3 linked regions of the Xenopus tropicalis genome follow. The protein of the gene in region 1 purifies or fractionates together with the protein of each later gene. This does not show direct contact. Links are inferred from orthologs where the notes say so. Each region holds a gene or a part of one and is shown in the gene's direction. Other genes may lie near its edges. The genes, in order: slc39a12, abhd12 and nat14.

What was found.
Region 2: the proteins of slc39a12 (region 1) and abhd12 purify together in Homo sapiens (co-immunoprecipitation; 3 studies listed by BioGRID and IntAct, counting the BioPlex papers as one, with this or other methods). This does not show direct contact. The link is inferred for Xenopus tropicalis from reciprocal best matches to the Homo sapiens genes SLC39A12 and ABHD12.
Region 3: the proteins of slc39a12 (region 1) and nat14 purify together in Homo sapiens (co-immunoprecipitation; 3 studies listed by BioGRID and IntAct, counting the BioPlex papers as one, with this or other methods). This does not show direct contact. The link is inferred for Xenopus tropicalis from reciprocal best matches to the Homo sapiens genes SLC39A12 and NAT14.

Annotation. Positions count from the first base shown.
Region 1 is NC_030682.2:28,280,906-28,284,560, reverse strand, and holds part of slc39a12 (zinc transporter ZIP12), read left to right. Parts: intron 1-1,319; coding exon 1,320-1,487; intron 1,488-2,764; coding exon 2,765-2,872; intron 2,873-3,655. UniProt on the Homo sapiens protein: Uniporter that promotes Zn(2+) import from the extracellular space to the cytoplasm across the cell membrane. The transport activity is temperature dependent. May play a role in neurulation and neurite extension.
Region 2 is NC_030681.2:38,948,250-38,952,004, forward strand, and holds the start of abhd12 (lysophosphatidylserine lipase ABHD12), read left to right. Parts: upstream 1-1,490; 5' UTR 1,491-1,536; coding exon 1,537-1,700; intron 1,701-3,755.
Region 3 is NC_030683.2:103,669,850-103,673,604, forward strand, and holds the start of nat14 (N-acetyltransferase 14), read left to right. Parts: upstream 1-939; 5' UTR 940-1,225; intron 1,226-1,241; exon of another isoform or gene 1,242-1,410; intron 1,411-2,582; exon of another isoform or gene 2,583-2,659; intron 2,660-2,910; 5' UTR 2,911-2,936; coding exon 2,937-3,017; intron 3,018-3,755. UniProt on the Homo sapiens protein: Probable acetyltransferase. May act as a transcription factor that regulates the expression of coproporphyrinogen oxidase by binding to a promoter regulatory element.

The DNA of each region.
Region 1 (3,655 bases):
CTTTTCATTTTTATTCTGCATTTTAATTCGTTTGTGGTTTTTCAATTTGGATCTTTTAATAAATTCCTAGGCATTTGTGGTTTTAGTGGAAACTAGTTTATGTGTGGTTTCAAATAAAATCAGAATGTTGATAAAGAGGCCTCCCCAACTGCTGTAATTGACTGATACTTCTGATACTATTAGACTAAGCTTCTAACTAGACATCATTATTTTATCTATTTGGGTCATTCATTCTAATGTGGTGACAGTATTTATTTCCCCTCTCTTTGTGTATATATTAACCAGCTCAGCTAAGTAGGAATTATTTCAGTGAGGGGTGCAACCTGATGGACGTTGCGCTTTTTCATCTCAGATACTATGTTATTGGATTAAATAGAAATCTCATTGCTGTGGCTCCCCTGGATTGAGTTAGAGAGAGAAAAGTTGGGACCCTCATGAATTTTCTCCCAAGGGGGTTGGGAGCCAGATCACTTATCCCCCCGTCCAACCTTTCCCCAAGTAGTTTCCAACCTAACCCTCCACAGTTCTCCAGTACGCATTAGCTGAAACCTCCTGTACAAACCACTTAAGTGTTAACTAGTGATGAGCAAATCTGTCCCGTTTCACTTCGCCGAAAAATTTGCGAAATGGTCTAAAATCTGCAAAATGTGTTTGTTGCATAACTTTTTTGTCGCCGCGTCTATTTTTGCAGTGAACGCAACTTTTTTTGATGCAAGACGAATTTTCCTGCTGCTAATTTTCAGGGAAGTTTTGCAAAACAATCCGCCAATGACGAAATGCGGATATTCACTGCGAAGCAATCCCTGGTGAAAAAATTTGCTCATCACTAGTGTAACCCTACACAGCGAACAGTAAGGAAGAGAGAATGCTCAGGTTGTATATTTAAACATACTGTGCAGGCCCAAATGTTCCATATTTTCATTGTGAAATGAGAAAAATGTGATACTCTATATCACTTGTTACCAATGCATTGTCATGTTACATGGATACTGTAAGCTGAAAAATCAATAAACAAGAAATATACAAAATAAAAATCTCATTGAGAAATTCCATGTAGAATGGCATTTGCCTATTTTTATTTAGCAAAAACGGTGACATCTAATTTGGAGTCCAATAAAAAGAAGCATACACACTCATCAAGCTCAAAATAATGCTCTGTTACAGTAAGTCTTTAGTAGAGTTCTGTACCATAATGAGTAGCACTGGTAGGAGTTTTGGGTATGGGTGTGGAAAAGACTGGTACTATTTCTGAAATACATCCCTACTGAATGAAGACTAAATATTGCCTCCAGCAGGTAACTGCAATTTCCATTTTTTAGGTACTTGGTGTACATGAAGTTGTCACCCATGAACATCATATGCAACAAGGAGACTACATTTTTGAAGAGAATGAATATTTGTGGAAAATAATGGGGATGATTGGAGGAATTTATGGATTTTTCCTGATTAACAAGCTTTTTTTCCTTCTTGTTTCATCTCCAAAGCAGGTAAACATTTCTGTCAATCTGGAACATGCCAATAGGTTTTACATTTACATATAAGGATAGAATAATACAAACTCTTTTTACCAAGGCGATCCAAATTCCTGCTTGCTGTAACTGGTAATGACACGCAAGGCCTTGAAAACACGATTTGGTAATATGCTTTAGAATTAAACATTTCTGTACTAAATTTAAACTTATTATTATTATTATTATTATTATTATTATTATTATTATTATTATTATTATTATTATCAATACTACTACTACTACTACTACTAATAATAATAATAATAATAAACACACGTGGGGGAAATTTATCAACATTAGTTTTTTTTTATGATTCAAGTTTTTAGGGCTAAAACATTTAGGGCTCAAAAACTTGAATATCTGATATGACATGATATGTATATATATCCCAAAAGGGAAAGTTGCGCTCAACCAATAAATTTTAAACCATTAGGTGGGGTATAGTATATTGAAGCAGTAGAATGAATTAAACAATCCCTGTTTTGCTTAATGGGGAGGACATTTCTTGGTAATGCACAGAATGTCTTAATGTCCTATATATATTGATAATGGGTGAGTGCAGAGGATCTCTTGTTTTAATGCTTATACATGTTGCCTGTGTGTTGTTGTCTATATGTATTTTGTGGTCACAACCTCATTGCACCCCCGCCTAAAGGTATAAAATTTAGTGGTTGAGCACAACTTTCCCTTTGTTGCTATAGTTTATACAGGAGCAGTGGCCAGCTCCATATTGTAGCTCCCTCCCTGCCCAGCCACAGTCAGGTGATCCCAGTGGAGCCAATAAAAGGGCAACCATTTGGGGGTTTTAACCTTTGTTAAATGTATATTAAAGCAGTAGAATTATTAATGAATCAGATAAGTCAGTGTAGGGCTGGCCTGAGGGAATGACTTTGATGTAGTTGGCCAGCTTGAAGTATATTGCAATATATGGAATTTCTTGGTAGCATAATGCACAGAATGTCTTCATGTCCCATATATATCAATAATGGGTGAGTGCAGAGGATCTCTTATTTTTATGCTTATACATGTTGTCTGTGAAAAAACTAAGCAATGCTTATTTGCCTAAGGCCTAAGACAACAGCCTTAAAGGAGGCAGCATGCGTATAGTTTTAATCGATACTGAGAGACATTTCAATCATTAATCTAACTACATTTTTATTCTCTGAACACACTTTTTTTTATCTCATACTCTCTTCTTCCTTTAGATTGTAAACCTACAGGGTATTCTTTACCTTTGTTTTTCTTATTTGTAGGGTCTGTCATTAATGAATGGACACTTGACACATTCACATGATCTACCACTGGATGCTCATTTAGGAGATCAATCAAGGAAAGCAAAATCTAGCTCTACCATTCAGCTGGTATGTTTCTTATTCTAATAGCCTGTATTCCCTAATAACCTGTATTCCCTATATTTCCTTCAAAAAGTTGAATTTTTCCCATTAAAATGATTGCTTTTTATTTTCCTTAATTATTAAAACTAAGCCACCAGCCCAGGAGACCAAAGCCACCCATTTGCCCAACTCCCTGTGTGGTGCCTTGAGACTGTTCTGTCCACCACTAGAGAAAAGTTTATAAATCTACAATGTATTGTTTGCTATTAGTTCCAGTAAATACTGCTTTCCCTTGGTGCCATTTGGTGCCAGTGAGTTACAGGAGAAAGTCTTTATGGTGCAGAGACAAAGTCAGGGTGCAATATACACCTGATATCAACATATACATAGGGTTAATTTTGAAATGGCATTCTGCCTATCTTTTTGCAAAAAGCCCCTATAGTTTTGGTTATATTTTGCACCAACCAAATTGGAATGGAAGTTCAAGACTTTAACATTACAGATGATCCCACCCTTTTTTCTTGATAGCAACTGTGAGAAGTTATATAATCAATCACTTAGAACAACACCCCCCTGTACTAAACTACATTTCTCACATTTTCTCCACTAGCATCATCTATTCCAATAAAGGAAACCATGTGCCATAAACCTAATAGCAGCAACGAGGAAAAGAAAGAGCTCTTTTAAACAGAGCTTATTATAGCTTTTATATTGACATTGTTTATGTCAAAGGGAGGGAAGACTAGCAGTAAGGGTAAAAACAAACAATAATCGTTAACATTTTAATGCTGAGAATGTATTTAAAATTTA
Region 2 (3,755 bases), on another chromosome or scaffold:
TGACTTAGCCTTTGTTTCCCACTACTGGAGTGGGGGTTCATTTCTCACCTGCCTCCTAGCATTTAAAGGAATTGTTCATATTTAATTTAATTTTATGTATATTGTAGACAGTGCTATTTTAAAAGTTTTGGAATTTTAGCAGCTATATGATTGCTATGATACAAATTACCCTAGTAACCACTAGAATTTGAATAGGAGTGGGTCTAAATGGTAATAAAAAGTAATGATAGCTTAAAAAAAAAAATAGTTTTTATGACTGTTGGGGTCAGCGACCCCCTTTTAAAAGCTGGAAAGAGTAAGAAAAGGAAAGCAAATAATTCAAAAATGATAAAAAATGAAAACCAATTGAAAAGTTTTAGAATTGGCCATTCTGTAACATATTAAAAGCTTACTTAAAGGTGATCCCCCATTTCCCACTGTGCATGTGTGATGATGTCACAAAAGCCAAACCCAACAAAGTTTTGCACCCAGCATCCCCTGGCACCTCAGCAGTTTAGGTTGACAGCTCTGTATATATGAAATAATTCATAGGACTAAAGGTGGCCATACACTGTAAGATCCATTTGTTTGGCAAGGTTGCCAAGCAAGCGGATCTTCTCCTGATATGCCCACCTATGGGTTGGTGAAATCCGGCTAATTCGATTGTTTGGCCAACTGATTGAATCAAAACGGTGGGCATAGGAACCTTTGTTCTTGAATGTGGTCCCCAGTCCGAATGAAAGATTAAGCCTGCCCGATGGAGATCTGGCTGATTTCAGGCCAGATGTCGGTGAGGACCGTTTGTGGTGCCCATACACCGGCAGATACACTAAAGGATCAGTCTAAAGGACCAATATTGGCAGGTGAAATCTGCCTGTGTATGGCCACCTTAAGGCACATAGGTTAGGTTTAAGGATTTTACTGCCTGTGGTTTTGATATTCTTAAACTAGCCATACACACTAGATCTTGTTTGGGGAGGTTGCCAGATGTGTGAATCTCAGCTCAATTTGGTAACCTACAAACTGGACCAAATCAAACTTATCCAGTCAGAGGGACTGAGGGAACATGCAGTAGTAAGCTCTTTGGCCACATGTCTTTATATGGGCACTGAACAATTCACTGATGAATAATTAACGTATGCCATAATGTTATTTCCCTTGTAGATTGGCCAATGTGTTACCCAGTAAAATAAGGATATCACGCAAAGGTTTCTAGTTAATGCTGAACTACAACTCCCAGCATCCCTGGCTATACTGGCTGCTCCTATTTTCCCTGTGTTTAGTGCAACAATCAGTGCCTGGGGATACCGGTCCTGAACGGCTGGCTCGTCTGTGTGGTGGAAGCGAAGCATCAGTAGCAGCCCCTGCTCCAGTTCCCATGCACATTTCCTCCCTGCCTCTCTCATGCTATTGGTCGCTGGCGGCAGGAGGTCACAGTGTAGGGGGCGGGCCCTGGCGATCAGCTGTAAGGGGAGGGGGAGCGGGGGAACAGCAGCAGCAGTTTGGTTCCTGGAGCTGCCGCAGCCTGTCAGCCGTGCCCCCTTTACCTGCCCAGGGATGAGAAAGAGAGCCGAGCCGGTGCCCCCGGAACATGAGAGCTTCGGCAGGGCCCCACTGGACAGGGAGTGCAGTATAAAGCAGAAACTGAGAATCCCTGGGACAAAGGGGCATTATCCACACGATTCCGACTGCGACAGCAAGGGCATGAAGAGGTTCGGCAGGTACTGAATGGGCAAGGGCTGGCATGCATTCAGGGATGTGCTACATGGCGATTTATAGGCATCTATATTGGCAAGAGCAGAGGGGTTTGTGTGCGTTTGTTGGATCCTAAAACAATACATGGCATCTATGCCCTCCAAGCCATCACCTTTCCCTCTCCTGCCTAGCTTGCCACTCATTTCCTAGTGATTGGCTTTGCCAGCCTAGCAGTATTCCCCAGATGTATTTCACTGTATATTCCTACTGAAGGTTGTGAGCTGCTGGTGCTGCTGCCTGTGTGCAACTCCTATGCATTGCCTTCTTTCTCATTTCCCTGCAATGAAGCCTGGTCACTGCCAGAAATGTGTTTAACTTACGATTCAAAACATTGTCCGGGCATTTACCAGGGGCAACAATTCTCCCTGTCTGCCATTGCCTGTAAGTGTAGGGGCTCATGCAGAGATTTCAGTATGAGGCCCTGAAATACTGCTTCCAGGATGCTTGAGATTGTAGTTCAATTGGAGCTGCTGGACCCCTGGCTGGAAATCCCTTGTGTAACAGTATAGTCCTGCTGAGCAGCCCCCTTGTGTTCTAAATGCTGTTTATATGCACCTGCTGACAGTCAGAGGATATTATGTTTGGCTGTGTATCCCTGAGTTTGCTTTGTTTAATTTAGTGTTAGACTGTTCCTTTGGGTAAAGGCTCTGTGCCATCCATTTCTCAGCTCAAATAACTGCACATTTTGCTCTCTTGATAGTTCTGGCTGTTGTAGAATGGCACCATATGAAAAGCATGCAAATGGAATATTCTGTATGTAGTACTTAAAGGAACATCACTGTGTGCACTGAGCTTAGCTCAGTTATAGATGGAGCACAGTTCAGTGATGATGCAAGGCGACCCCAATACAACAGCTACACGTCAATATTGCCTCTAAGGTGCACCCAACCGCTATATTCAGCTGTTTCTATCGGTATATTGGGCATGTCAGCCTCTTGGAGCTTCAGACTCCTGCCAGACTGTTGGGGAGTTGCAATTTAAAGGGTCAGTAACACCAAAACAATGAAAAGCAATTGTATAAACATTTAATATATAAATTGCGTGTTTAATATATTTTTTAAGATTTAAATTACAAGATTTACAAGATTTAAAAACAAATCTAGTTTACTCACTGTACAGTTGCTTTATGGCCAACTGGACTGCCATTAATGTTTTATCTTAATGAAGATAGACAGGGGTTAGCTGGTATTCATAGCTATTTAGACTCCTATAGAGTGAAAACTTTTCCTGTATACAAATAGTAGTGCTGTTGCCATGAGATATGTAATCTGCTGGTGCTGAGCAAACAACCATTAAATATAAATCATTTTTATTGTCATTTTATGGTGTTTTTGTTTTTTTAAGAGCAATTGTTGGGTTGAAGGTTAGGCTATCTGGTGTGTATGTATTTTGTATTATATGGCTAGTCAGCTGTCATTTGTGTCCTTAGCTTGTAAAGGGCAGTGGCATATATTTATGTGCTGTGCTGATAAGATCCATTGGGAATGTAGGCAGTACCACCCTCAGTCTTATCTGCACTAAGAGGTATTGCAAGGACTTTTAAAGATGCGAAGCCCAGAACCCAGTTTCCTTCTACATCAGTTATCTGTTAACAATTAAAAAAATAATATTGTAAATAAAAAAGGCTTACAAACATGTGGACAGACCATGGGACCATAGAAATTAGTGGTGCATGGTTAGTTCTGAAACTTGTGGGAACTGCGGATTCAGGTCAGCATCCTAGGTATGGGGTATTTTGCAGGCCTCTTCCTTTTCACAGCATCCCCTTTCCACCCCAACCCTCTATATTGACGAAGCTACCAGAAAGCCCAACTCTCTATGACATATGATGTCATCAGAGGCAGAAGTAAGACATGGGTTCTGAAGAGGTTTACCACCTTTTCTGCAAAAAATACCGGCCTTCCTAGATTTTTATGTTTTTTCCTATTTATAACATTGGCATCAAGCATCAGTTTGTACTAATGGCTGTACTATGGCGTTCTTTGTAATAGTGTGGAAGATGCTGCAAGGTCAATTGTAAT
Region 3 (3,755 bases), on another chromosome or scaffold:
TGCATCCTGCCAAAATCTTTTTTGTGTTCCAGTATGGGGGGACCTGATGTCCATGCACTGGTTATACAATTACATGGTGAGGAGGGAGGGGGAATGTGAGGAGGGCAGCAACATCTAAGAAGTTCTGAACTGAAAGTGAAAGTAACTGTCTGCCCCACCCCTATGCCTTAGGCAGGCAATATATGACTGACAGCTGGGATTTGTAAATGCTTTTATAATGGGTATGGATGTGTTAATAAAAAAATGATTTTGTCTTATGTCTGGGTGACAGGTCCACTTTAAGTGAACTATATTATAGAACGGCCAATTCTTAGCAACTTTTAATTTGGTCTTCATTTTTTATTTCTTATAATTGTTGAATTTTTGGCCTTCTTATACTAACTCTTTGCAGCTTTTAAGTGGGGGTCCCTGACCCCAGCAGCCAAAAAACTATTGCTCTGTGAGACTACAATTTTATTGTTATTGCTACTTTATATGATTTATCTTTCTATTCACCTCCTCTCCCATTCATATTCCAATTTTTCATTTAAACCACTGCCTGGTTGCTAGGATAGTTTGAACCCTAGCAACCAGATACCTTCTGAAATTCCAAACTGGAGAGCTGCTGAACAAAAAAGCAAAATAATTCAAAAACCACAGAAAATTAAAAATGAAGACCAGTTGCAATTTGTCTCAGAATATCAAGCTCTACATAGTACTAATTGTTTTGGAATCCATAACACAAGCTGTAGGAGTGCAATGAGCACCCATTAGGACCCTAACTCCCTACAGCAAACAAGAGATGCAGAACCTATGGTGCTGAAAGATCAGTTATTACAATATTGTACATCTTTTGACCCACCCACAACTAGGGATTTGCAGGCACGTGGGTTAATTAGCAGACCTCCCTGCAGTTATTTTTGCTGGGGACAGCTCAGTTTACACCACTGCTGGAAATATCTTGGAGTCATCGTATCAGTGTGCGGGAGTCACTATATACAGTGGAACAGTATAGATAAACATATGCTGCAGACAGTCAGACAAGAGCTATAGCAGCTGGCCCTGCCATTAGTCTCTGGCTGAATCTATCCAGCCCAGGCAGCCCAGCAGCAGGCATTTACTATAGGACACACCCCCTCCTCCAGCAGCAGCTGCTCTCAGCTGACAGATCCTCCCCCTCACCCACTGGCATCATGGAGTCCCTGGCTGGATGAGACAAAGCCTGCTGTAATCTATTAAAGGAAAGGTCAGTGCATAAGATACAGCCGTACATATGAGCTGCATGCAGTTATTCACCATCCATGTCTCCCCCCCAGCAAAGGCCTGTGGGACCTGGGGTGCAATGGTTAACCCCCTCTTTCCTGCAGGGAGTGAGTTCGGAAGAGGCACAGAATTAAAGATCATGCTTTTACTTTCTGGTCTCCCCCATAGGTAAACCAGACACCGCTAGTCACGTGTATCATTGTATTGTGTATTATTGTGGGTTGTGGTTCTTTCCACATGGGTTGTACTGTATATATTGCTTCTAGCTAATGTAATTAACACTTTGAGAGCCTTGCGTGTGAGGTGAGGGCAATGTAAGTATACTGCAGCAATCCTCATGATTATCTCTCAACACCAATGTATTTTAGTTTAGTTTATATTTTACTGGCTATCCCATGAGGGAATTTAAACTACAGGTTACACATCTGCTTTTCTTCTTAGATCAAAGAATGATTTTTTATTCTAAACCCTCACCAAGAATATACCCTAAATTTGATATTTTAAGGTACAGTGGCACAGAGGGTCTTGATTGGTTCAGACTGGTTTAGCCTTACTGGTAGCTTTATCTGTTTCAGTAGCATAGAAAGCCCCCAACATGTGGCCAGAGCTGGACTGGCATTCTGTGGGTTCTGGCAAATGCCAGAGTTGTTGCTGTAAGATGCCATAGACAGTCACTATTTATAGTGGGCTGCTGCCAGGGCCTATTTTAAATCCTCGTCCGGACCTGCCTATGGCCCACCATAGCATGTTGCTGAAATAACAGGTGTGGGAACCTGTTATCTAGAATGATCAGGACCAGGGGTTTCCTGGATAAGGGATCTTTTCATAATTTGGATCTACCCCCAGTAAGGATAAAATATATCTTAGTTGGGATCAAGTACAAGGTACTGTTTCATTATTACAGAGAAAAGGGAATCATTTAACCATTAAATAAACCCAATAGGGCTGTTCTGCCCCCAATAAGGATTAATTATATCTTAGTTGGGATCAAGTACAAGGTACTGTTTCATTATTACAGAAAATAAAATCATTTTTAAAAATGTAAATTATTTGCTTATAATGCAGTCTATGGGAGATGGTCCTTCCATAATTCGTAACTTTCTGGATAATGGGTTTCTGGATAACTGACCCCATACCTGTGCAAATGTCAAAAGCATATTTGGAGCTGTAGTTTACTTATATCTGGCTGTGAATGGGGTTTCCCATTCCTATTGCACTTGACATTTTGGTGACTTCTGCAAGAAAATGTGGCCTTTCCCTTTCTTAAGTGATACTCATTCAATGGCATTATGGTGAGCCACACACAGCGTATTTCCCCTTTTTTTTTTTTTTACTTACAGGCAGGCAAAAGCAGGAGAGCCACAATACATACCCGTGTATATTCCTGGCCAGTAAAATCATCCCAAGGCAAAGTATGGTTAGTCTGCACTCTGGGCAATTTGGTTATACACACTGACAGCTTTTTTGGGGAGCCAGGACTACTTGCATCCCATATTGGCAGCTTCTGGATACTCCGTATCTATTTTGGGACTACACTAGACTTTCATTTAAGTCCTTAGTTAGTTATTACTTTGTGATCTAATCATGTGACAATTGTATTTAACTTGTTGCTCATTTAACACATTTTTTTGCCAAGAACAAACCACCTTTGCTTACATTTCTTTAAAGAGCACCTACTTGGAAAAGCCCTAACCATGCCCTTTATTGATGAGAACCAGCTGTCTGTGCGGGAGATGCGAGAGGAGGAAGCACCCGTGGTACTGGAAATGTTGAAGGTAAATATCAGTATAAAGAATTCTTTGCATACCATAAGTGTATTCAAAAAGCAAAAAAGAGTACTTATTAAGTTGGCCAACAAATTTTGTCCTCAGTGTTACCAAAACTATTAAAGGGGTTGTTCACCTTTAATTAAACTTTTAATATGATGTAGAGAGTGATATTCTGAGACAATTTGCAATTGGTCTTCATTATTTATTATTTGTGTTTTCATATTATTTATCATGTTGTACAGTTCTCCAGTCTGGAATTTTAGCAGCTATCTGGTTTCTACCATTCTAATTTACCTAGCAACCAGTCAGTGGTTTGAATGAGAGACTTAAATATAAATAGGAAAGCACCTGAATAGCAATAGTTGGGCTATGGGGTCACAGCCAGAAGAAGAATGCAAATAATTCAAAAATTATAAAAAAACAAAACAAAAAAGAGTTTGTTTATTCCCCTGCTGTCACGTTTCCCACCGGCAGCTCAGTAAATTCAGCCACAGGGAGGGTGGGTTTGTGGCGGGGGGAATGTGAACGTGCGTAGGTGCCTGAAACAAAGGTTGGAGCCATATGCCAAAACCACCACTTTAGGCTGATGTCAGACGTGGTGTATTCTCAGCAAGCCGAAAAACGCTTGCCGAGAATACGCCCCGCTACTGTAAATACACCCTACCTGTGCCTGCACCCAAATGAATGAGATACACTCGGGTGCAGGCACATGTAGCCGAAATACGCATAAAAAACAAGAGGCTT